Cricetulus griseus: one gene and its partner. The protein of the gene in region 2 interacts with the protein of the main gene of each other region in a pairwise test. Links are inferred from orthologs where the notes say so. Each region holds a gene or a part of one and is shown on either strand. Other genes may lie near its edges.

Evidence for each region.
Region 1: the proteins of Hspd1 (region 2) and Samd3 interact in binary tests that used the Homo sapiens proteins (3 or more experiments, as listed by UniProt). The two-hybrid records come from large-scale screens. The link is inferred for Cricetulus griseus from reciprocal best matches to the Homo sapiens genes HSPD1 and SAMD3.

What each region holds. Positions count from the first base shown.
Region 1 is NC_048595.1:245,300,416-245,311,787, reverse strand, and holds the end of Samd3 (sterile alpha motif domain-containing protein 3), read right to left. Parts: intron 10,889-11,372; coding exon 10,688-10,888; intron 6,902-10,687; coding exon 6,730-6,901; intron 5,736-6,729; coding exon 5,653-5,735; intron 5,444-5,652; coding exon 5,165-5,443; downstream 1-5,164. Other genes in the region: L3mbtl3 (lethal(3)malignant brain tumor-like protein 3), read left to right, coding at 1,829-1,972.
Region 2 is NC_048595.1:409,523,319-409,536,620, forward strand, and holds the start of Hspd1 (60 kDa heat shock protein, mitochondrial), read right to left. Parts: upstream 6,168-13,302; 5' UTR 6,043-6,167; exon of another isoform or gene 5,962-6,042; intron 5,161-5,961; 5' UTR 5,159-5,160; coding exon 4,985-5,158; intron 3,466-4,984; coding exon 3,213-3,465; intron 2,564-3,212; coding exon 2,481-2,563; intron 1,559-2,480; coding exon 1,463-1,558; intron 1,005-1,462; coding exon 911-1,004; intron 712-910; coding exon 543-711; intron 1-542. Other genes in the region: MOB-like protein phocein, read left to right, coding at 6,677-6,679, 7,312-7,476. UniProt on the Homo sapiens protein: Chaperonin implicated in mitochondrial protein import and macromolecular assembly. Together with Hsp10, facilitates the correct folding of imported proteins.

The DNA of each region.
Region 1 (11,372 bases), about 160 Mb from region 2:
GCTCCCTCCCCCCTCTTCCCATGCTCCCAATTTGCTCAGGGGATCTTGACCCTTTCCCCTTCTCCAGGGGACCATGTATGTCTCTCTTAGGGTCCTCCTTCGATATTTGTTTTCTTGATGATAGAATGGATGCAGAAGTCAATGAACAGATTAAGGCAGTCAATTCTTTTTCATGTGGGTCCCAGGAATGAGATCCATGTTGTCAGGGTTTATCCCGTGAGATCCATGTTGTCAGGGTTTATCCCGTGAGCCATTTCAATTACCCCTTGTCAATGTTTAATATAATGAAAAAGAGAGAGAAAAAAAAAAGCTACATACTTACATAATCCTGCAATTAGTTAATTCCAAGGAATTCGGGATTGTAGGGGGCTACCATGACAAAGCATAGCTCAGTCACTTAAACAGTAGAAATGCATTGTTTGACAATTGTGGAGGCAAGACTAGAAAGCAGCCTTCTAATATCTATTCCAGCCCCTTCTGCAGCTTATAGATAATTCTCTTTCTGTTTTCCTATGTGACTGTCTCTGTGTCCAAATTTACCTTTTTTAAGGACCAAAAAACTTTTACTTTGTGGACACTAATCCTCCTGGACCAGCAGCCCACCTGACCCATGTGATCAGTTGCTACTTAGTTGCAATGACACTATTACCAAATAAGTTCACATCTGAACAACTAGGGTTTAGGAATTCAACAGAATTAAAGGAGGGGCTGCAAAGATGGCTCAGTGGTTAGCAGCACTGCTCTTCCAGAGTACACAGGCTTGATTTCCAGCACGCACATGGAGGCTCACAACTGTCTATAACTCCAGTGCCAGGGGAATCAGATACCATCTCCAGTCCTTCACAGGTAGTGCACACATGTGGTGCACAGTCATACATGCAGGCAAAACACCAATACACATAAAATAAAAATGGAGAAAAAATTTTTTAAATAATTTGAAGCTGGGCGTTGTGGTGTACACGTTTAACCACAGCATTCCAGAGGCAGAGGCAGGTGGATCTCTGTGAGTTCAAGGCCAGCCTAGATACATAATGAGTTCCAAGACAACCAGGGCTATGAAGAGAAACCTTATCTCAAAACAGAACAAACAAAAAAGAATTTTCAGAAGATACAGTTTAAACCCCATCAAGCCATTCACTGTGGTCAAAGCTTCTAATTATTCTGAGACTTAAAACACAGTGTCTTTCTTTTTGTTGTTGTTGTTGTTGTTCAAAATGGGGAACTTGAAGAAGAAATTAATCTATCTTAAGACCGTCCAATTCCTTAAATGCTGAAGTGTGTGTGTGTGTGTGTGTGTGTGTGTGTGTGTGTGTGTGTATGTGTATTTGTCACCGCACTAAACCCAAATAATCATTTTCGTCATGTTGTGGCTGTGAGTTTCTAAGTGTCCTATTCTGTAATTCAGCTTTTCATCTTAAAATGAGCCAAGGAAGAGGAGAATGTACACAATTACACCAATAGCAGAAGACACAGCCTGTAGTCCATGATGTTTAACACTGGCCTTACGTCCTTCCACACATACTGTTTGTGTTTCTCTTCTGCTTATGGAGGCTAACTATGGCCATGGCTGACAAAAGTTCTCTCTCTATTTTCCTGCACGGTAGAAGGCTAAATCTGTTAGGTGTTTCAGACGATTGACTTTTACTTTGTTGGGTATGTGGAGACCCATAGATTGGGAATGTTGTGTTCATGATCTCTGGTGTATGTCTTCTTAGCATAGTTGTGAAGTCAGGTAATAGTACAGCATAAAGCTTTGGATAGCCCCACAACAATGCATCTGGTTAATCCATATTCTTTTGTGTCTGGTTTTTTCCTTCCTTTATTTCAGCAAATTGATGGAGAAGCGTTTTTACTTATGACCCAGACAGACATTGTGAAAATTATGAGCATTAAGCTGGGCCCAGCTCTCAAAATTTTCAATTCTATCCTGATGTTTAAAGCGGCGGAGAAGAATTCCCACAATGAACTGTGATGACAGTGAATTTGGGTACCATCAGCTTCCGCTTTAATGCTCATCATGTTTATTCAAAGCACAAGGACGGTTCTAGCTCCTGACTGAGAAGTCTCCAGGATCCCAAGAGCAGCGCTATGGGATTCCATCCGTCCCTCCGGACTGCATATACATTCTTAGGAAACGCCTGGGCTTCTCACCAGCTGCTGTCCAGCAACGGTCATCTTTCAGTTCTGCTCACTGAGCTAAACTTACCTTTGTAAATCTTTTGGAGGTGGGAGGAGGGTGGGGAAATGGGGGCTTCATTATTTATGGATGGGGGGCAAAATAAGAACTTCGGCATTTTGTAAACATTGTTGGATTCTCTTTCATGTACACTTTCTTTTTTTCAATACTTTCAGAAACCTTTTTATATAACTGAATTTCAACCTAAACCAAATCCGTTGAAACCTGGCTGAGTTGAGCCTGGGACTAGTGTCAGTCGTGTTCGCCCTGTGCCATATTTGGAATTGCAGCATTAGCCAAGTGTAACTTTGCGAGTCACGATATTGCCTAACTGTGTGTCATCATTTGTTGGGACTGAAGAACTGTAAATACTATCTTTCTTTGAATCCATGTTTTTACTTTTGCACGCATTATGAGTTGTTAAACAAATTACTTTTCACCAGCATCTTTACTGTTATTACCAAAAAAAATGTATATAAAAGAACAGAATTGAGAAATAAAATATATAAACCTACTTAGGTTTGAATGAAGTAGTGTATCTGGGCGGAATCAGTTGTGCACAACATGGTGCCCATGTGTTTACACCAGTGGGTATCTGAGGATTATTCGGTTACATTCCAGGGGATGTTCATCAGGAGCTTGATTTAGGAGATTATTGTGTGCATCTCTGTAAATGACATGGAAGTAACTGGTGCTTTATAGAAAAGGACTCTTTCTGTTGATGGAAACACTAATCGTTCAAGAGATCCCATCAGTCATAGGTCCTCCAGACCCAGGGGATTTCCTCAGAGTGAGCTGAGAAGCAGGGCATTGATGTTACTGCACAGACCTGGTGTGACATTGTTAACACCAGCAGACCCCAAAATTCTCCATGCTCACAAGTCGAGGAAGTGGTTCCCAAAGCCATTATTTGGGAACCTCCAATGTGGAAAGATTCCTTTTCCTATGAAATATTTTGCCTTGATTTTTAAGCATCTGGATGCACTTTAAATGAAAGCCCTGGGTTATTTATAAATTCATAGCTGGCTCTGTTTCTTTTGTAAGCATGCACTTCTAGGGGGAAGGTAAATTATTTTGTCAGTCTTTTGATGTACTTTCTAATTCCAGGATTAGACATTTGTCCAAGGACTGCTTTAAAAATAGGAAGTTTAGTAGCATGCTGTCGGAACTCTGGGGAGAGTCCCACCTCTTTCCATAAACTCTTTAATGTTTTTCTGATGTAGGACTTCCTTTGATGTGCCATAGTAGGAGTTTATTATCAGTCCTTTGCATTTGTCATGATTCAAGGTAAAACAGGGTCCCTGACATCTGCAGTGTCCAATTCATTTCTTTGCATGAATCTGCTAAATAAGCTTTTTATTGTTATTTTTCCCTTTTTCGTTGTGTTCAGTATTTGTACATTAACTTGCACTTGTTACATGTGATATGAATGAAATAAAATCTTAATTACAGATTCTTTTTATATATGTATGATTTTTAAGGAGGTTATTAAATAGGAGATATAGAGAAAACCAGGAATAATATCATATCTAAGAAAAGCTATATAAGGCCTGGGTATATATTTGAACACCTACCTGGCATTTATAAGACCCTGGGCTTGATCTGCTCCACTACAAAGCGATAACGAATAAATAGCATTAGAGATACCATAGGTCTGGGAGTTGCCTCGATGCTAAAGTGCCTGTTACAAAACATGAGGACCTGAGTTTGGATCCCCAGCACCTGTGTAGAAATCAGGCATATCTGTAACCCCAGTGCTGTGGAAACAAAGGCAAGTGGATCCCTGAAGCTAGGAAGCCTAGGTGAATTTATGAATCCCAAGTTTAGTTAGTTAGAGACCATGCCTCAAAAGAGCATAGGTAGTGAGGCTAGAGAAGTAGGCCAATGGTTCAGAGTACTTGGATCTCAGCCACCTTTAACTCCAGTTCCAGGGGATCCAACCCCTTCTTCTGGCCTCCACAGGCAGTAGGCACATACACGGTGTACAGACTGCAGGCAAACACCCATACTTCTTTTTTGTGTTTTTGGTTTTTTTTTAATAAAAAAAAGAAGAGGAAGTGGGGAGAGTAGTGATACAAGAAGACACAGGAATATAGCAGACGGCCCACTGGCCCACACAGACACACACGAACAAGTCCACACACCACAAAGAAAAGGTGAGTGTGGCAGGGGCACAGCATAGCGATCTAAGGACTGTAATATTGAGTATTTTTGTGTATTTGTGTACTTCGATGGTAGGATAAGTCTTAAAAAAACAAATAAAAACCCTTTAAAAATCACATTTTTAGCCCAAGTAGTTTTCATCCACACTGAGAATTTTTTTCCTTTCTAATTTAAATTTAAAGTGTATGCTATAATGAAAGAGATTTTTAAATCTTATTAAAGATTTTACTCAAGGCTACACAGAGAAACCCTATCTGGAAAAACAAAACGGCAACAGAAGATTTCACTCGGAAGCAGTATGTCTTCCGAGAAAAACAAAACACTGAACATTCTTGGGTGGCATAGGATTCATTGTGATCAACCATGATATCTTTTTGCTGTCTCATCACTGCAATATGGACTAGGTGCACTTCTTTCTAAAACATTAAAGTTCAAGATGTTTCTAATCAGGGTTCTAACCAAAGAGACCAAAGAGGTTGTCCAACTCATGGGTTTTCAAGCCATCACGCGCTGAGTTAAATTCAGGGTCAGACCCTAACTGGGAGAATTTCACCTCATAATGTCCTTTAAAAACTGACACTCCTGAATGAGTAACCTTGGCCATAGAATACCTACAAACTCAGATCATATTCAAAGCTTTTTAGTAGTATTTTATTACCAAACACAACAGAGAGCTTAAGTATCTAACTTAAGGACAGAAGCATCAAAAATTCACTGACATTTGAGACAACATGATTCTTCAATCCTTACCTCTAAGGCAACCCTAAATCAATTTGCAGTTGTTTATGAAGCTTCGGCCACCCTGGGAGGTCAATTTGGATAGTCTTAAGTGATAGGAGATTGACATCTGATTTCCTTTTCTTTCAAAGATGGAAAACAGGGACTCTGCACATCAAAGATCAATGTCTCCAGGAAGTTAAAGGTTTGGGACAGTCTTCTCGGACACTCAATCCCAAACACATGGAAAGCAGCCACCAAAGCAGCCAGGGCTGTGATGCAGTCATCCACCTTGACAAGCTTCTCTTTGTCTAGATACAGAGAAAACTCACAGCCATTGATGTGGAAAGGGTTTTTAACTCCCAACACCGGGGTGGATGCATGTACCTAAAAAAAGAGGAATGACATCACTACCCACTGATATGTCAAACAGCTAAATAATAAAGCATGCCTGCACGTCACACAATGTTAGCAGTAAATGAGCTAGTTACAATATAGCCTAATGGTAATACAATGAAATGACTTGAGTAGACCACTGACCTTATACTCAAGTTATACGAAGGTATAAAATGAATGGCCATAAATATACTACATACCTTCTCATTCACAACGACAAAAAGGCTGGGATCATCCCCAAAAACATCTGGGAGGAGTAAACATGTGGCGGTCATCTTCATATCTGTCAGAGTAAGCATGTCCAAGTAAAAGAAATGGGCTTTTGGAAATGGTAAGAAAAACTAACATGAAAATGTGGGATTTGCTTTTTATTAAATTATTGCTACCTTCCAGTGTGAAAAGCAAATCTTCTCAAGTGAGTATTTCACAACCATTTTTTGCATGTGTAAGTGTGGTCTGTGTCCATATGTGTTTGCATCTTTACATACGTGTGGGTGTGCGTGCAAGTGCGTGTGGATACCCAGAGTTGACACCCAGTGTCTTCCTCTACTTATTTACTGAAGCAGGGTCTCCTGCTGTACCTAGAGTCTGCACATTCAGTCAGTCCTGCGCTAATAGCCAGCTTCCCTCAGAATCCTGTCTTTGCCTCCCAAGTACTGGGATTGCAAATGGCCAGCACAACTGTCCAGAACTCCAGCCCTCATGCTTGCACTGCAAACACTTTACTCTGATCATCTCCCCACGCCTCACAACCATTTTTAACAAAGATTTTTCTAATGAAAACTTCCAAACTTCAGGTTTACCCTCTAGGTCATGGCCAACAGAGACCAAAGTTCTGGGCTGTGCCCATTTGCCAGGATGATTTAATGTGTTTGGCCTTGTAGTGTGTCTTGTAAGATTACAGGGTACTGGTGCCGATAATATAATTTATAATATTGAGTGAAGTTTTTTTAAGGTTTTATTTATTATGTGTATAACATCCTGCTTCCATGTATATCTGCACACCAGAAGAGGGCACCAGATCCCTTAATGGATGGTTGTAAGCCACCATGTGGTTGCTGAGAATTGAACTCAGGACCTCTGGAAGAGCAGTCAATGCTCTTAACCTCTGAGCCATCTCTCCAGCCCCTTGAGTGTACTTTTTTAACCCAAGCTTTTTTCTCTCTCTGTTTGAAAAGCTGTTTTCCGTCTCACTAAATTTCACTTAATGCAACAAAACACTTCTGTCTATAGTTGCAGAAATGGCTGAGACCGCCCCATCCCTGGGCTTTACTGACTCTTCCGCACTCCTTCATCTGTATAGTGTTTCATCTTCTCTTGCAGTGCCGTATTGATTGGATTGTCCACCACTGAAAAGGCAGACAGTATATTTTCTGAGTAGGATTCCAGAATATGCTTTGTTTTCTTATAAATATCTGTTTTCGTAAGAAGCTGGACTTCTCGGAACATCTGATAGAAGAAAGAAATACGTATGTCAGGCCACATGTGAAGGTTACTAGTGTTCAGAATATAAGGGAGTGGATCTCTCATTAACATTGTATTAAGTGTTCACAAATGACTTGGAGTATATACCTGAGTTTTTGGTGGCTCAGTGTATTGGATGCAGGACAAGGAGAAAAAGAATGAAAGTCTGAAGTGGATAGTAAAACAAAGAGTGGATACAGAATTAAAACTTTGGAGCCTGGAATGGTAGCACACACCTTAATCCCAGTGCTTGGGAGGCAAGGCAAGTAGATCTCTGAGTTCAAGGCCAACCTGGTCTACAGAGTGACTCCAGGACAGCCATGACTATATAGAGAAACCCTGTTTTGAAAAAAAACAAAAAACCTTCAGGAAACTTTTCTTCCTTTTGTTCTATTTTAAGGAATTGGATGTTTTCCAATACTAGAATTGAAATTAAGGCCAAGCCCGGCAGTGGTGGCACACACCTTTAATCCCAGTACTCAGGAGGCAGAGGTAGGTGGATCTCTGCGAGTTTGAGACCAGCCTGGTCTACAGAGTGAGTTCCAGGACAGCCTCCAAAGCTACAGAGAAACCCTGTCTTGCTGTCTCGGGAAAAAAAAAAAGGAAATTAAGGCCAATTACAAATTAAAAATTTAGATATAAATTCTACTAAATGAGGATCACAAAAAGTAAATACACATGTATACTGGCTGTTTGGGTCACAGGATTAGAAGTCTAGACACATTTCTTTATATAAACCACATTGTTACCATTACAGTTCAGTTTTCTTAACTTGACATAAATCTAGACATAGCAGGGAAGAGAGACTCTCAATTGAGAAATGGCCTCTATTAGAGTGGACAGTGGGGATGTCTGTGGGTGTCTTCTTAATTGCTAATTAATGTAAGAGGGCCTAGATGGCACCTTCCAGGGCTCTGTAAGAAAGGCAAATCTGGGAGGCAAGCTAGTAAGCAGTATTCCACCATGGTTTCTGCTTTAGTCCCTGCCTCGCCTTTTCCTGATGATGGACTGTGTAACCTATTAGCCAAATTGTTTTGGATCTGTGTTATCACAGCAACAGAAACCAAGCTAGGACAGTTATGTTTCATTAGCATCCCAAAAGAGAAAAAAACAGGAACACTACTCTTGAAAAGTAGCCAATCAGGCTGGAGAGATGGCTCAGAGACTAAGAGCACTGACTGCTCTTCCAGAGGTCCTGAGTTCAATTTCCAGCAACCACATGGTGGCTCACGACCATCTATAATGAGATCTGGTGCCTTCTTCTGGTGTGCAAGTATACATACAGGCAGAACACTATACATAATAGATAAATAAATCTTTTAAAAAAAGAAAGTAGCCAATCTTAGGACGCTAAGGGAGTGTTTTAGAGACTGTAAGATGAGTTAAACAATAAACATCTGGAAGAGTTAAGCCCCAAATCAAAGGAAAAACTGATGGAAGCCTCTTGACTCCAAACTACTTTTCCCTACCTTTCCCAGAATTTCCTAAATTTGGACTCCCAGAGAATTCCATCCCTATTGCCACTCCTCCTGTTGACAGAATGAAGCCATCAGACCCCTCGTTATCTACACCAATATGGTTAATTTAGTCACCACTGTTCTTAAAATTGTAGCATTCCTTACAATTCTTTAGATATTTTTGGTAAATCATAAATTGACCAAGGATTAGGTCTGAAAGTTAAGTCATTCGGAGCTGGAAATCATGTCCTCATCAAGGGACCATGGCTCTTGTGAGGCAGCTCAATTAAGAACTGGTTGTTCCTCTTGACCTGCCAGACTTCATCATTTGTTTGGGAAAGTTTGTTTTGGGTTTTGCCCTTGACTGGGAAAAATGAAACCTAGGGGTGAATCTTACTCACAAGGCATAGACTTCTGGATGCCATGTGAGTGCCTGAGTGCTTCAACTCATCACACCAGCCCCAAGCTCTTAACAACACTTTATGCTTCCTGTATCAGCCCTCAGTCATGCAGCAGCCTCGGTTTTCAAGGCATTAAGGAGACCAGATCTCAGACAGTGAGCTTCTTCCTATGTCCCCCACTTATTCCAAAATCCTGCCCAGCACACAACAATTGTCTATCATTCTCAAACTCTCGGCTCTTCCTGCTGGCCTGAGTGGGACCACTAATTGCTGCTTGTCCCCACCTGTTCGGTACAGCCACCTCAGTGTAGCTCTGCACAGCAAGCCTCCCTTACCAAGGATCTGAGTCCCTAAGGCCTGCAAGCAACTGCCTATCTATTTTTGTTCCTTAGCTCTATCCAGGCTGGCGGTGGAAACTCCAGGTCAGTAATCGTACACCAGTAGAGCAAATCAAAACTCAGGTTCTTTACATTTTCCCATGCTTTATTCACTTTGCTCTTAGGTATTTCAGTGAAGTTATGGGTTTGGTTTTGAGTCAAGGTCTTACTAGGTTGCCCAAGTTGGTCTTAAACTCTCTGTTGTAAAAGCTCTTCCTGCTTCAGCTTCTGATTGGCTGGGACAACAGTTTCATACCACAGAACCCACTTTCACCTAACCAAGGGATGGATGCTGAGACTGCTTCATGGAAGGAGAAAGTCACAGCACCTCACGGGGCTCTAGAAACTTCAAGCATTTAATTTTTTTCTCTTCCCTCCTAACTCCCTGCCTCACTTGACTTTCATCTTATCCTTAAAGAGCAGAATTCTAGTTAAAGTTGTATACAATCTAATGTGATTTTTATAATTAATTTTTAAGTTTTTCTGTTAAGGGAAGCAGAGGCAGGCAGATCTTTATGAATTCAAGTCCAGCCTGGTCTACAGAATGAGTTTCCCAGACACACTCCAAAACTACACCGAGAAACCCTATCTCGAAAAACAACAGCAACAACAAAAACAAACAAAAATATTTTTTGAAAAAGTTTTAAAGGAGAGGATACTAATGTTTATAAGATGGTGAAGTGTCAGGGTTGACTGCCGCTCCCTCCCCCCACCCCCAGCCACTTCTCTTTCTTCTTCAGAACCTGTATCAGTAGCAAATAAACTCTGGGTGGTGACAGACAGTGGAACAGTGAGATCACTTTATACCCTGGTTGATTTTTCTCGACTTGATTCAAACCCAGGCTCATCTGAGGAGAGGGAAACTAAACTGAGATAATGCCCATATCAGACTGGCACATAGGCAGGCCTGTGCAGGGCATTGTCTTGATGGCGAGTGTGGGATGGCTCAGCTCACTGTGGAGAGCGCCACACCTTTTGGGCAGGTGGTCCTTGCTCAGAAAGCAAACCGAGAAAGCCAAGGTGAGCAAGCCAATAAGCAGTATGCTTCCATGGCTTCCATTTCAGTTCCTGGCTCTTGGTTCCACAATCCTGGTGACAGACTATGATGTGAAAATGAAATCCAAATAAACCCTTTCTTGATGAATTGGCTTTTGGCTATGGTGATTTATCCTAGAAATAGAAACACTAAGACACTTTATAAAATGATTTGATATTATAGAAGACAAAGAAAACTGTTACTTGGAAAGTGTTCTGAACAAACCATCTCTACTGTCCAAATGCATGCAAAATGGAGTTATTCGTGTGAAAAAAATACCCTAACAGTACAGACACCTCACCCCCAACCTGGAGTGTGCTTATACAGGGAATTCTGATCCCAAAGACAACAGCACTGGTTATCTCAACAGTCCTCCTCACACTGTCCTGGGACTCACACACCCACTGTCTTGCCAGGCTGTCTGGCCACTACTCCAGAGGAAAGAGGGAGAAAAACAAACGTGACACCAAGACCAGAGACTGTTCTAGTGAGTAGCTTACCTGGTAAGGACACTTCAGGAAAGGAAACATCTTAAGAATGTCCTTGAGAGGTGTTCGGCAGCCAATCATCTTTCTTCTGATTTCCAAAGTCTGACTCATCCTCCTGTCAATTTCTCTCCAGTCCTTGTCTGTTTTCGTGTACTCTCGCTGGAACCAGTGGATATGTTCATTCACCTCGGAATCTAAATAAACAGATTCTTCCTGCCAAACATTTCAAAGTATCCGTTAGTCTCATGTTTCAAGGCAGTTAAATACATCACGGAAACTTGGCTCTCTGAGAGACTGTCGTCCTGCTCTTTATGATGTATCCCTAAGGTGTGGATTGCCATGTGTCATTTCACTTGGCCTTGAACATTGTTAGCCAAGGAAGAGTCATTTATGATAGAAAATTAGTTTCTTTTTTCTTTTTTTATTTGAATTAGAAATAAGATTGCTTTACATGTCAAACCCAGTTCCCTCTCCCTCCCCTTCTCCCCTACCACTCCCTCAACTAAAACCCTACCTATGACATACACTTTCTGTTCCCCAGGGAGGGTGAGGCCTTCAATAGGGGTCATCAGAGTCTGTCATATCCTTTGCAATAGGGCTTAGGCCCACCCCTGTGTGTCTTGGCCCAGGGAGTATCCCTCTATGTGGAATGGGCTCCCAAAGTCCATTCCTAAGCTAGGGATAAATTCTGAACTAC
Region 2 (13,302 bases):
AAGATTTAAACTGACACTTGGAAGGCAGATGGATCTCTAAGTTCGAGACCACCCTGGTCTTCAAAGTGAGTTCCAGGACAGTCTCCAAACCTACAGAGAAACCCTGTCTAGAAAAACCAAAAAGACATTTAAACTAAAGGGGCAGTTGGGAGAAAATACCTTTGGTTCCTGGTAAGTTCTGGCACTACTCAACTACTCAGGTACCCCAGCAACTTCTGTCTGAAGATGAGATGGGGCACTCACTCATATGAATTTGTCCCAAGCCAATCATCTACTTAAAGAACTGCTGCCTTTACGTTCCAGACTGACATCTGGACAGAATTTTTAAAGGACACATGGACAGTTCTCTCTGGGAAGCTGTGAGAGGTACAGGCTGAAGGGTTATGTGCATTTAAGACTAGCTTGACACTGTCTCCAACAAACCACTACATTCAATGCATAGAGCACCACAATGTACACTACCACTTTAAGAGATCAAACATGGAATTTCAAATAGCAACCCAAATCACCTTCCACCCAAAAATATGAACCACCCAGCCCACCTGTTCAAAACCAGTGTGCTTAGAGCTTCTCCATCAACATCTTCAGCAATAATGACCAAGGGCTTACGATGAGCATTAGCAATTTCAAGAGCAGGTACAATGGACTGGACACTAGAAATTTTCTTTTCACTCAACAGAACATAGGCATCTTGGAATTCACATTTTTGACCTGTAAAACAGTGAGCAATAAAACCAAATTCTAACAGCACCGAGAAAACTAACAATTTACTTCTACAGAGAGACCTGCTACTCATTCATTTAGTGAACTATTAACTTTTCAATTTTTACAGATTGTACCAACCCACTGCCTACAGCTGACAGATACCTTTAAAGCGTATTTTCAAGATTCATTGCTGACTCGCTCTTACCTTTTGATGTGTTAATAAAATACGGGGAAATATATCCTCTGTCAAACTTCATGCCTTCAATAATTTCTAACTCATCATTCAGGGTTTTTCCATCCTATGAAAAGTATAAGAATTAGATGAATGATTTCAGTAAAGAAACAATACTTGGGCAGCTAAACCTAAAGAACATTTGCTGCTGTTCAAGAGGACCTGGTTAGGTTCTTAGCACCCACCTGCTGACTCACAACTGCTGTTTCTTGTGGAATCCGAAGCACCAGGTACCCACACCTTTAGTTCCCCACAACAAAGCCAAGTCAGAGAAATATCACCCCTTTGAGGTTGAGGCCTATGGTTCTGGGCTAATCAGGGCTACAAAGTGAGGCCTCGCTCCATTCTCTCCTACTCACAGCTAGCTGAGAGCCAATTATATTTATTTAATTGGATGGTTTAATTCTGGGAGGTAAGGCTCCCAATGAATGTGCTGGCATAAACAAATTAAGTTTTCTGTTTGGAAAACAGTTGACACACACCTCCCTGAAGGTGTTATCAGAACACATCAAACCCCACACTTGCCTTCACTGTGATGACGCCTTTCCTTCCAACCTTTTTCATTGCATCAGAGATGATGTTTCCAATGTCTTTGTCTCCATTCGCAGAAATTGTAGCAACCTGAAATAACCAGTTACTTCAAAATTAAATGGTAAGATCAGTATTTTCAACCCTTTTCCCCTTCGACCTTCTAAATTGACACTTCAACCCAGGGGAGAGAAACGTTGTACAGTTTATCTGTTTTTTTTTTTTAAAAAGATTTTATGTATATTTTAAAAAATATTATGCATACAACATTCTGCTTCCATATATATATCTGCACACCAGAAGAGGGCACCAGATCTCATAATGCATGGTTGTGAGCCACCATGTGGTTGCTGGGAATTGAATTCAGGACCTCTGGAAGAGCTGCCAGTGCTCTTAACCTCTGAGCCATCTCTCCAGCCCCCAGCTTATCAGTTTTAATGAAGTACTGGTTAAATGGTCCTTCCATTCTTTGGCACATTAAGAATATACCAACAGGGCTGGACAGATGGCTTGGTGGTTAAGGTGACTTAGTGTTTAGGTCACCACCCAGCTCACACTAGCTGGCAACTGCATCTAATATCACTTTCTATGGGTTCATAACACACATGGCACACACACATACCCCCCACACATAAAAACTCTTATTTACTTGCCTACTATGTTTCAAAGATTAGGTCTGATCCCATATAGGGCAGGGAACATTGAGAACACCTAAGAACATCTTCCCCAATAATCTAATTGTACAACCATGTTTAAAAAAAGAAAAAAGAAATGAAAAAAAAAAAAAAAAAAAAAAAAAAAAAAAAAAAAAAAAGAACTGGGCAGTGGTGGTGCATGCTTTTAATCTGGGCACTTGGGAGGTTGAGGTGGGCAGATCTCTGTGAGTTTGAGGCCAGCCTGGTCTACAGATCAAGTGCCAGGACAGCCAAGGCTACACAAAGAAACCCTGTCTTGAAAAACCAAAACACAAACATAAAAAACCCCCAACTTTTTAAGCAGGAAATAAAACCCTTACCTGAGCAATTTCTTCAGGGGTTGTCACAGGTTTAGATTGTTTTTTCAGTTCAGCAATTACAGCATCAACAGCCAACATCACACCTAGTTCAAGAATGAATGTTAGTACAATGCTTATGGCTCCCAAACCAAGCATGAACTTACAGGTTCATTTTAACATTCATATGCAAGCTCTCATGTCAGCACTGTCCTAACTGTACCAAGTGACATGATATGCACTCAATCATTTGTAATTTCACATTTAAGTTGAAAACCATGAACTTTGTGAAAACTTGATCAAGATGTTGAGTGGTTGCTCACATCTGTAATCCCAATACCCAGGAGGCTTAGGCAGGAGGATTTCTTTTAAGACTAGCATGGAATATACACCCCCCGCCCCCCGAAAACAAGGGAGGGCTAAGAGGGATAGCCACCCATTCTTAAAAAGCCTGTAACTCCAGTTTCAGGTGATCTGGCACCCTTGCACAAACATGCATGCAGACAAAACACCAATGTCCATAAAAATAATGAAATTTTAAAAACCAAACCCCTCACTACTCAATTCATTCTTCTTAAGCTACTACTAATCCAATCATGTTGCCTGTTTCCAATACGGCACCTAAGGAAATGAGACCCTTAAGGGTAGGGAGGACAACTCCCATCTTGTCTATGGACACACACCAACAAATGTATTAAGAAAGGAAAAAGATGAGACAATACTCTCATTTCTGTAGGGTCAATGACATGCTCTTACCTCTCCGGATTTCTACTGGATTAGCCCCTTTGCTGATCTTCTCAAAGCCTTCCTTGGCAATAGAACGTGCCAGAACAGTAGCAGTGGTAGTGCCATCCCCAGCCTCTTCATTTGTGTTATTGGCAACATCTTGAACAAGTTTAGCTCCGATATTTTTGTATTTATCCTTTAGATCAATTGCCTTTGCAACAGTGACCCCATCTTTTGTTACTTTGGGACTTCCCCAACTCTGTTCAATAATCACTGTTCTTCCCTACAATGACAGAATAACAACCCTCAACCATAAACTTCAAAGTTGTCACTTTTAACAGTCCTGAAACGTGAATCTCAAAGGTCAAGTTAATCAACATTCTTAGGTCTATAGACAAAAGGAACTCTGAGGTACAACAGTAGATAACATCCCCCACCCACCCAAAGAGATGCCACCTATTAAACAAGATAGCACAGGTGACAATCACCAATCCTGGAACACCCTTCCATCACTTGTACACGAGTTTTGGTTATGAACTGTTATTACTTTTTTATTAACTGTTGCTTTTAAGTACAATTTACTTGAACATCCATTCACTAAATATCAGCCAGTAAGTTTGTTCTTAACTTACTGTTTCCTGCTCATGCAATTCAAAACTTCAAAACTGACACCAACAGTATTGGCAACTTGGATTTGAACCAAGCTATTCTGTCTTGACCTATATAAACAGCACTTTACGAAGCTCTTTAGATGGCTTTAACGTCAATTTAAAGCAACTGTGCCCCACATCCAATTATGTCCTCAAAGTACTATGGCTCCTTATTCAACCACACAGATGAGTGACTCCAGCCTTGGATCTCAGCAATGATTCAAGGTTCAAGCTTGCTTGGTCCACAGGAGTTCCAGGTCAGCTATGGCTAAAGACCCTGTCTCAATAAACACCAGATGAATAGTATACTAAACTGTTACATACCTGGGACAATCAGTTCAAGGATAGTCTTGGTACAAAGCGAGTTAGAGGTCTGACTAAGCTATCGAGACTCTTAAAAACCCCAAACCAAACTTTTGGAATGTGGAAATGGCAGAGAAATCATGAGGTATGCACAATGGAGGGATAAATGGGAGACCAGATAGCCTTTTCCATGTGCAAGTGAAAACGGTTCTGGAGATGTGTGATGGTGAGTTACAGAACAATGCAAACGAAGTCACAAATATTAACTTAGGCTGGACAGATGCCACAGTGGTTAGGACCCAGGTTCAATTCCCAGCACCCACATAGCAACTCACAATTGTAACTCCAGTTCTGGGATCTTCACATGGGTATACACGCAGACAGTACACCAATGCACATAAAAATATAAATAAATCTAAACTCTATGCTATCGCATCTACTGTATGCATACTGTAATACTTCAGTACAGTTAAGTAAAACCTCACATCTACAATTACACTCTGAGGTGTTACTAGTCTTGAGCTGTCCTTTCCCCTCTATACCCTCTAACTCCTGGGAAAGGATCCAAAATTTAATGCAAGCATTCACACAAGATTAATTACGCCTAAAGTTTGAAAATCCTCCTTGAGCTATTACTACTCTATTACATCATGTTGCACAAAAGTCCCCCAAATCGGCTGCAGCAGTATTAAGGCCACCAACTAACGAAACTCCTAAATAACACCCCCAAATCACTTAACATGTACTACACTCAAATTAGATTTTCATAAAACTTGTTAACAAATACTGTCTAATTTGCAGCTACAGAATACTATTCTTTTATTAACACGATTTAAAGTATACTGATACCTTTGGCCCCATTGTAACAGCTACAGCATCCGCTAAAAGGTCTACACCTTGAAGCATTAAGGCTCGAGCATCTGCACCAAATTTTACATCTTTGGCATAGGCCCGAGTGAGATGAGGAGCCAGCGCCCGGGACACTGGTCTCATCTGGCGAAGGACTGTGGGTAGTCGAAGCATTTCTGGGAGAGGGGGGGAAAAAAAAAAGCAAAGGATCACTACTAGTTACGGACAAACTTGTCCACCTGTGCTTCAGAACATGGAGGCTAGCTAGACTGGAGCTTGGCAGTCCTCTGCTAACCGCCACGCCTGGGCCACACACGGCGCTGCAGCTTCAGGACATCAATTGCTAGCAACGGATTAAGGAGGCCGCCCCCATGCTCGCTTGACCTGCAGCCCTAGCACACAAAACCATTCCCCATGGCCACCCACTCCTGCCACCGCGAGTTAATCTTTCACTGGCAAAGCGGCCTTAGGAACAGATCCACTCCAAAAGTGTGTGTGGGGGGGGCAAAAAAATCAAGCTGGCGTAAGCGAGGCAGGTTCCAAATGCAAGAGCACAGGGAACTATACAAGTACTCATGACGGTGCAAAACCCCGCTCAGGAAAAGTGACGCCAGGTGTCCACCCGGAGCTACGGTAGCACAGCAACTAGCAAGGCCGCAAAACCCAGGACCGCAGCTCAGCCCATTCGCGCGGCCCCACGTGTCTGCCCGACAAGGAGCCCCAGGCAAGGTCAAAGTAGAGGCGCCGCATCCCCGCAGCCAGAGGGGACGAGAAGGGACCGCGACCACCCTCCGACAAGAGTCCTGCAGTGCGCCAGGCGCAGGTGGCACCAGAGGGCCCAAGTGGCTCCCACCCTAGCCCGTCCTCGCTCCCGCGCTTGGCCTGGGTCGCGTGGTCCCCGCCGCACGTGATGAAACCCGCGTGGCCCCGTCGGGCCTGGACAGGCCGGCAGAGCCTGCGGCGTCGCTGCCAGCCTTGTCCCCTAGCCCGCCATGCTCGGGCCCAGCCGGAAGCAGGCCGGCGAGCTCCCGGGCGCCATGCACGTCGAGGCCGTGTACCTGCGGGGCGGCGGCGGGAGGGCACGAGGCGAAGCAGGCCGTCGGCGGCGAGTGAGGGACCGAGCGCAGAGCGCGCACCGCAATGAGTCCGAGTCCCCTCCCTCCGCGGCCCCGCCCCGCGGCCCCGCGTGCGCGCGCGCCCCGCTCCCTCCCACGCCCGGGCCCTGCAATCAGCATGCGGCGCGGGTGGCCCCGCCCCCCCCGTACCCGAGCGGTCTCAGCCCCGCGGGCTCAACCCTCTCCCGCCGCCCTACGCTGGTTCCTGGGCCTCGCTCCGTTCTAGAACCTTCCGGAAGGGCGCTGCGCCTCCCGTGGGTCAAGGGTCAGGTGGCGTCATTTCCGGGAGGAGGACGAAGGGCTCGTTCTTTCACCTCAGCGGGCCGCCTGGAAAAGCCTAGAAAGCGCGCCCCTTTTCTTCCGCCTCCGGCTGCCCCCTTCGGCGGCCTGCGCGGAGTCCTCGCCACCAATCGGCGCGCGCGCTGCCGTGGCCGCCCTCTCTCACGCTCGCGGGGGGGGGCCGCGTGCGCCTGCGCCTGCGCGCTGCGTGGCTTTTTCACGTGTCCCGAGCCGGACCTCAGGACTCTCCTTGCAGCGGCGGCCCGAGTGCAGAGTCCGAGCGGCGGCGGCGCGAGTCATGGTGAGTGTCCCTGGGCTGGCAGGCCTGCCTGCGGGTCGGGGTCCCCCGCGACCCACGGTGTCCCCCCCTGTGTGCCGGTTTAGCACCGGCAGGGCAGGGGGCCACGCAGTGTTCGGCGCCCGCCCGGGTTCCGCAGGAGCGAGGCCTGTCCGATGCGGTTCTCCACCACGGCCTCTTTGCACGCACGTGTGCTGCAGGAGCCCGGGGTAGGGGGCGGGAACCCGGATGCACACTCAGTAGCCCACCTGCCCTGCCAGGGCTTTCATGGACGTATACTGTGTTGGAGAATATATGACCCAGCTCAAAAATTGATACTCTCTCCCCGGCGTTACTAGAATTAAAAAAAGAAATCTAAAGAAGGAAAACGTTTGACCTTGGAGGAGACCAAGGTTGTGGTTAAAGGTAGTGTGGGTGCTGATGGGCAATGAAGACACCCCCCCACCCACCCACACGCACTAAAATATACAGGGTATGAAACATCCAAGAATATTTTCTAAAGGCACACCTAGATTTTTCTTGTCAGTTTGGGACGTTTGACCCGTTATAGGTTAAGGCATGCAGCGGTATTAACTGTTCGTGGTCTGACGCTGCGAACGCAATGACAGTCCGTTTGAACACGTTTCTCTCCGCAGGCTGGACAAGCTTTCAAAAAGTTTCTACCGCTCTTTGACAGAGTATTGGTTGAAAGGAGTGCCGCCGAAACTGTGACCAAAGGTGGCATTATGCTTCCAGAAAAGTCTCAAGGAAAAGTATTGCAAGCAACAGTAGTGGCTGTGGGATCAGGCTCGAAAGGAAAGGTAACTGGGAGCTACTACAGCAGTACTGAGTCTTATATGTGATATGGAAGGAAAGGAGTAGAAAATCCTAGATTACCAAGTGGCTTTTAAAATAGTAGATGTCTTTTTTTGAAATAATTTAACTTCACAAAGAACCGCGCATGAAGGAAAACCATTGTGGAGTTGTTTTATTTTTCTAAGGAATGGAGAGGCATTCTATAAAAAAAGGCAAAATGTACACATGAGAAGTGTGTGTGTGTGTGTGTGTGTGTGTGTGTGTGTAAGACATTGTATGTGCATGTCTGCTGGTTTGCAGAGTTGTTTCCAGCCCTCAGTATGTTTGGGTTACTGCCTTTTTACTAGTGTTGAGATTCCCTAAATTGGGTTCCAGTACTGAGCTCTTTCTGCAGTGCCACACACTCCAGAGATTAACTGCCATTATGGTGACTCATGCCTTGTGGCCATGGTACTTTGGAGACCAAGGCAGAAGGATTGTAGAGTCTTTTAAGCCATCAGGAGGTACAGGGTGAGACCATATCTCAAAAAAAAAAATTAAAAAGGAAAAACAAAACGTCACAAAATATATTACCTTTGGTAGTTTGTTGTAACCTACTTTTCACAGTTTTAAATAGACAAAACATCATACAGTTAGATAAACCCTGGGTGGTGGGGTTTTTGTTTTTTTTTTTTTTTTTCAGAATTGAAAGTGGTAATAATACCACTAGAATTCTGGTGGTGGTGGGGCTGAGCTGAGGCAGAAGGACCCAGAATTAATGGCCACTCAAGGCTACATAGACTTGTCTCCTCCTTCCCCAAAAAGAAAGGGTGAAATGGTGGGGATGGGGGCTGGCTGATGGCTTAACTCAGGCACTGAAATTGTTTTAATCTTATGCCACTGGTAGCTTTAGTTGTCATATTTGAGAAGGGAAATGGAAATACTCTGGGTTTTCCACTTAACTAAACCTCTGTAGTGTGCTACTTCAGTTTCTGACCAAGCCTATGCCTTGAGGACAAGGACATTGAATAAAGAAAACAAATAGCAAATTTTTATTCATCAAAGTCATATGTGACCATTTACTATTTTGGTATTAAAAGCTGCTTTATTTCACCTGGTCTCTAGGGTGTGTTAATATTTAATAGTTAAAATGTTAGCCAACCGTAGCTGTTCACTGAAAGGCAGTTTTAGCTAAGCCACTGTTTATTTCAAATTGTAACTACAGTGATGCTTATATTGTGATGATCTACATTTAATGTAAATTATATTGCTTAACAACTAATTAGGTACCAAACAACATACTAGATTTGAGTGAGCACATTTCATGTGGTTTAAAAGTTGTCTATAGAGCCTAGTGTGGTTGATACATGCCTATAATTAACAACACTTAGAGAGCTGAGGCAGGAGGCTCCTGGTGTATGTACGGAAAGAAAGTGTTCATTGTGTGTCTTGTGAACAAGATGCCCTTTCTAATAAGCAACTATTTTTTTTAAGGGTGGAGAGATTCAGCCGGTCAGTGTGAAAGTTGGAGACAAAGTTCTTCTCCCAGAATATGGAGGCACCAAAGTAGTTCTAGACGACAAGGTAAGTAAAGCTATGATTTTTATTTTAAATCAAGACAGGGTTTCTCTGTGTCACTCTGGCTGTCCTGGAACTCCTCTGTAGACCAGGCTGGCTTTGAACTCACAAAGATTTGCCTGCCTTTGCCTCCCAAGTGCTGGAATTAAAGACGTGCTACCACCAAGCAATAAAGCTAAAATGAGTTGTGTGTTTGCTTTTACTGTCTTAACTGGTGGTTTCTTTATTCACAGGATTATTTCTTATTTAGAGATGCTGACATTCTTGGAAAATATACGGACTGAAATCACTGTTGAAATGGTATCACATGAAGCTGCCCATTCCGCCGACATTCTGAACTATTCATCATGTAAATAATTTCTGTGCCTCCCTTTTATAATAAACTGATGATGCCTAAACTGATGACATCCATTGTCTCTGAAGGTTTAGTATCAATGTACTGTTATAAACATTTCCGAATAAAATAAGTAAATGAGTGACGGTGTTTAGTAATTTAAGGTGGGTTTCTCCCTTTAAGCTGCAGAGTTAAGAGTTCTGAGAAAGAAGGTTTCTTAAATAAATAAATTTTGAGGATGAATTTGGCTTCCTTACATAGATGAGTGATACTTTTTTTGGGGGGGGGAGACTGGGTTTCTCTGTGTTGCTTTGGAGCCTATCCTGGCACTTGCTCTGTAGACCAGGCTGGCATCGAACTCAGAGATCACCTGCCTCTGCCTCCCAAGTGCTGGGATTAAAGGTGTGCACCATCAATGCCCGGCCTAGATAAGTGATATTAAAACCATGGGCTTATCTTATACTTAGGCCCTGTCTTGGTTTGCTTTCTATTTCTGTAATAAACTACTGGCCAAAAGCAACTTGGAGAGAAAAGGGTTTATTTCAGCATCAAGTTCATAGTTCAACATAGAGGGAATTCTGGGCAAGAGCTGTAACGGAGACCAAAGAGAAATGTTTCTGCCTTGCTCCCCTTCTCTTGCTTTCTTACACTGGCCTGGGCCACCTGCCCAGGGGTGGCACAAGCCATAGTGGCCTGGGCATTCCCATATCAATCATGAAGATAACTCACCATAGTCTGAGTATCCTAGGCCCATCTAATAATCAATTGCAATTTATTCTTCCCGCTTGACAAAAGTTAGCAACATTGTACAACAAGTATGATCTGGGGTACAGTTGCTCTGTTACAGAGGTGTGCTGTTCTTATCCTCATTATTTCCTGAGCATGCCTGTCTTCCAAATCTTAAATCAAAACTTGTTAATTTGTTTTGGCAAAGAAAATCAGCACAGGAAGCCAGATAGGTGACTCAGTCAATGGTTAAAAGCACTGGCTGTTCTATCAGAGGATCCAGATTTGGTCTTTCTGTGGTTCACTGCAGAACAGATTGGTCCTCCTGCGTTGGCCTCCTTGATGCTTGGGTTATAGGTGTTACCCATCTGACTTAACCTAAACTCCATACGACAGAGTTCTTTCTATATTACAAATATAACCTCCTAAAATGGTTTCTTTAGCAATTACCCTAGTCAAATATCACAAGGGGCCAACCTTCTAGTAGGTGTGGTTGGGCCCTTGCAGGTTTAAGTATACCAAGTAATTTGGGGAATGGAATCAAAGCTTTAGAACCAAGCCTTGGATCTCAAAACACTTGGTAATAGCATTGGGCAGTAGTAGGAAAGCTTTGATCCAGGTTGGACTCCTGATTTCTGAGGTTACTAGTAACCACCTTGCGTTGTGGTAGGCTTTTTTCAGTTTGTCTCTGGCATTTGTGTATATACATGGTCAGGCCAAAAGAGGACAATCAGGTATTGGCTGTGATCACTGCCTTACCCGTTGAGCAAGGCCTCACTGAACCTGGAGTTTGACTATGACTAGTGAACCCCAGCAGTCCTATCTGCCCACAGCACATGTGCATATCATGCCCTACTTGGGATTTAAGTTCAGGTCTTAATGTTTGCATGGCAAGCACTCACCAGCTCCTGTTTTGAGACATGTTTGTTTTGAGAAGGTTTCTCTGTAGCTTTGGAGGCTGTCCCAGAACTCAGTAGACAAGGCTGGCCTTGAACTCATAAAGATCTGCCTGCCTCTGCCTCCCAAGTGCTGGGTTTAAAGGTGTGCACCATCACCACCCCGTCTTGGAGAAATGGTTTAATGGTTAAGAGTACTTGCTATTATAGAGGACCTAGAATCAGTTTATAGCACCCACATGTTTATAATTATTCTTAACTACAGTTCCGGGGATCCGATTATATATTTAACTTTGGGGAGGGGGGGCTGCTACCTAGCTTACCCAGCTCCCAAATAAGTACACAGAGACTTATTCTTACTTATGAATGCCTGGCCTTAGCTTGGCTTGTTTCTTGCTAGGTTTCCTTACATTATCTCATCTACCTTCTGCCTCTGCATCTGCCTTTTACCTTTCTCTGTTCAATATACCTTTCTTTCCTTCTTACTCTGTGGCTGGGTGGCTGGCTCCTGGTGTCCTCTCACCTTCTCGACCTTTTTCCTTTGCTGCTCTTAATATTTTCTTTTTATTCTGTATGTTTGGTGTTTTGATTATTATGTGTCGAGGAGACCTTTTTTGGTTCAGTCTATTTGGTGTTCTGTAGGCTTCTTGTACTTTCATTGGCATGTCTTTCTTTAGGTTGGGAAAGTTTTCTTCTATGATTTTGTTGAATATGTTTTCTGTCCCTTTGAGTTGGATTTCTTCACTTTCTATACCTATTATTCTTAGGTTTGGTCTTTTAACGGTGTCCTATATTTCCTTGATATTTTGTGTTAGGGATTTGTTGGACTTAAGATTTTCTTTGGTTGATGAGTCTATTTCTCCTAGTGTACCTTCAACTCCTGAGATTCTATCTTCCATCTCTTGTATTTTGTTGGTTATGCTTGCATCTGTAGTTCCTGATCGTTTACCCAGCTTTTCTATTTCCAGCATTCCCTCAGACTGTGCTTTCTTTATTGTCTCCATTTCAGTTTTTAGGTCTTGAACTGTTTCCTTGAGAGATTTGTTGGTATCTTTTATTTTTTGGTTTGTTTTTTCTTCCATTTCTTTAAGGGATTTTTCTCATGTCCTCTTTGAGGTCCTCTATCATTTTCATGAAGATGTTTTTAAGGTCATTCTCTTCTGTTTCATCTGCATTGTAATGCTCAGGGCTTGCTGGTGTTTAGTTCCTAGTCTCCGATGGTGTCATATTGAGTTTTCTGTTGTTGAATGTGCTTTTACATTGTCCTCTTCTCATCCTTTCTTCTGGTGGGTGTAGCAGGAGTCTCTAACTCTCCTGGTGGGTGTGGGACCAAGGTTCCCCTCTGGTAGATGCAAACAGTTCCAATACTCTGATGTCTGTCCTCTTCTCGTGGATGGAGGTGGGACTGTTACTGGGGCCTTGGCAGTCTCTGGGTGTGTTGGATCCCGCTGAGTTCAGATCTGGTGAGCAGACCCCTGGCGTCAGGTGTCCCTGAGCAGGGCTGCAGAACTGGAACCACAAACAGCTCCTGGGTTACCTGGGCTGGTGGATGGAGGCAGAACTGCTACCTGGGCCTTGGCAGTATTCTGGGTGTGTTGGGTCCCGCTGCTGAATTCGAATCTGGTGAGCAGACCCCTCCTCTCACCTTCTCTTGCTCCTCCCCTTCAATGTATTCTCTGCATGCCAGCCCCACCTATTTCTTTATCCTGCCTAGCTATTGGTTGCTCAGATTTTTATTAGACCAATCAGGTATTTTAGGCAGGCAAAGTAACACAACTTTACATAGTTCAACAAATGCAAAATATCTGCATCGTTAAACAAATATTCCATAGCATAAAGGAATGTAGCACATCTTAAACTAATATTCCACAACATTCCTTAGATGCAGTATACACATAAACATATGCAGTACACATACATATATGCAGGCAAAATACTCATATGCAGAATACTATAGTGGAAAAACTAGAAGAGCTTCTATGTTGTTCTCTTAGATCTCTTTTCCTATGTGAAAAAGCTGACAAATAGCTGGCTCACTGTGTAAACCAGGTTGCCCTTGAACTAACTCACAGAGGACTTCCTACCTCTACTTCCCTAGATTAAAAGTGTACATTATCAGGCACAGAAAAAAGTAAGGTGTATTCTTAATGATGGGATGTTGATAATTGTGTTTGATAGAAAGCTTCAGTTTTGTTCTGTTTTTTGTTTTGTTTTTGAGACGTGATCTCTCTTTGTAGTCCATCCTGGAATTCGCTATATACACCACGCTGACCTTGAATTCACAAGAGATCCATCTGCCTCTACCTCTGCCTTTAGTT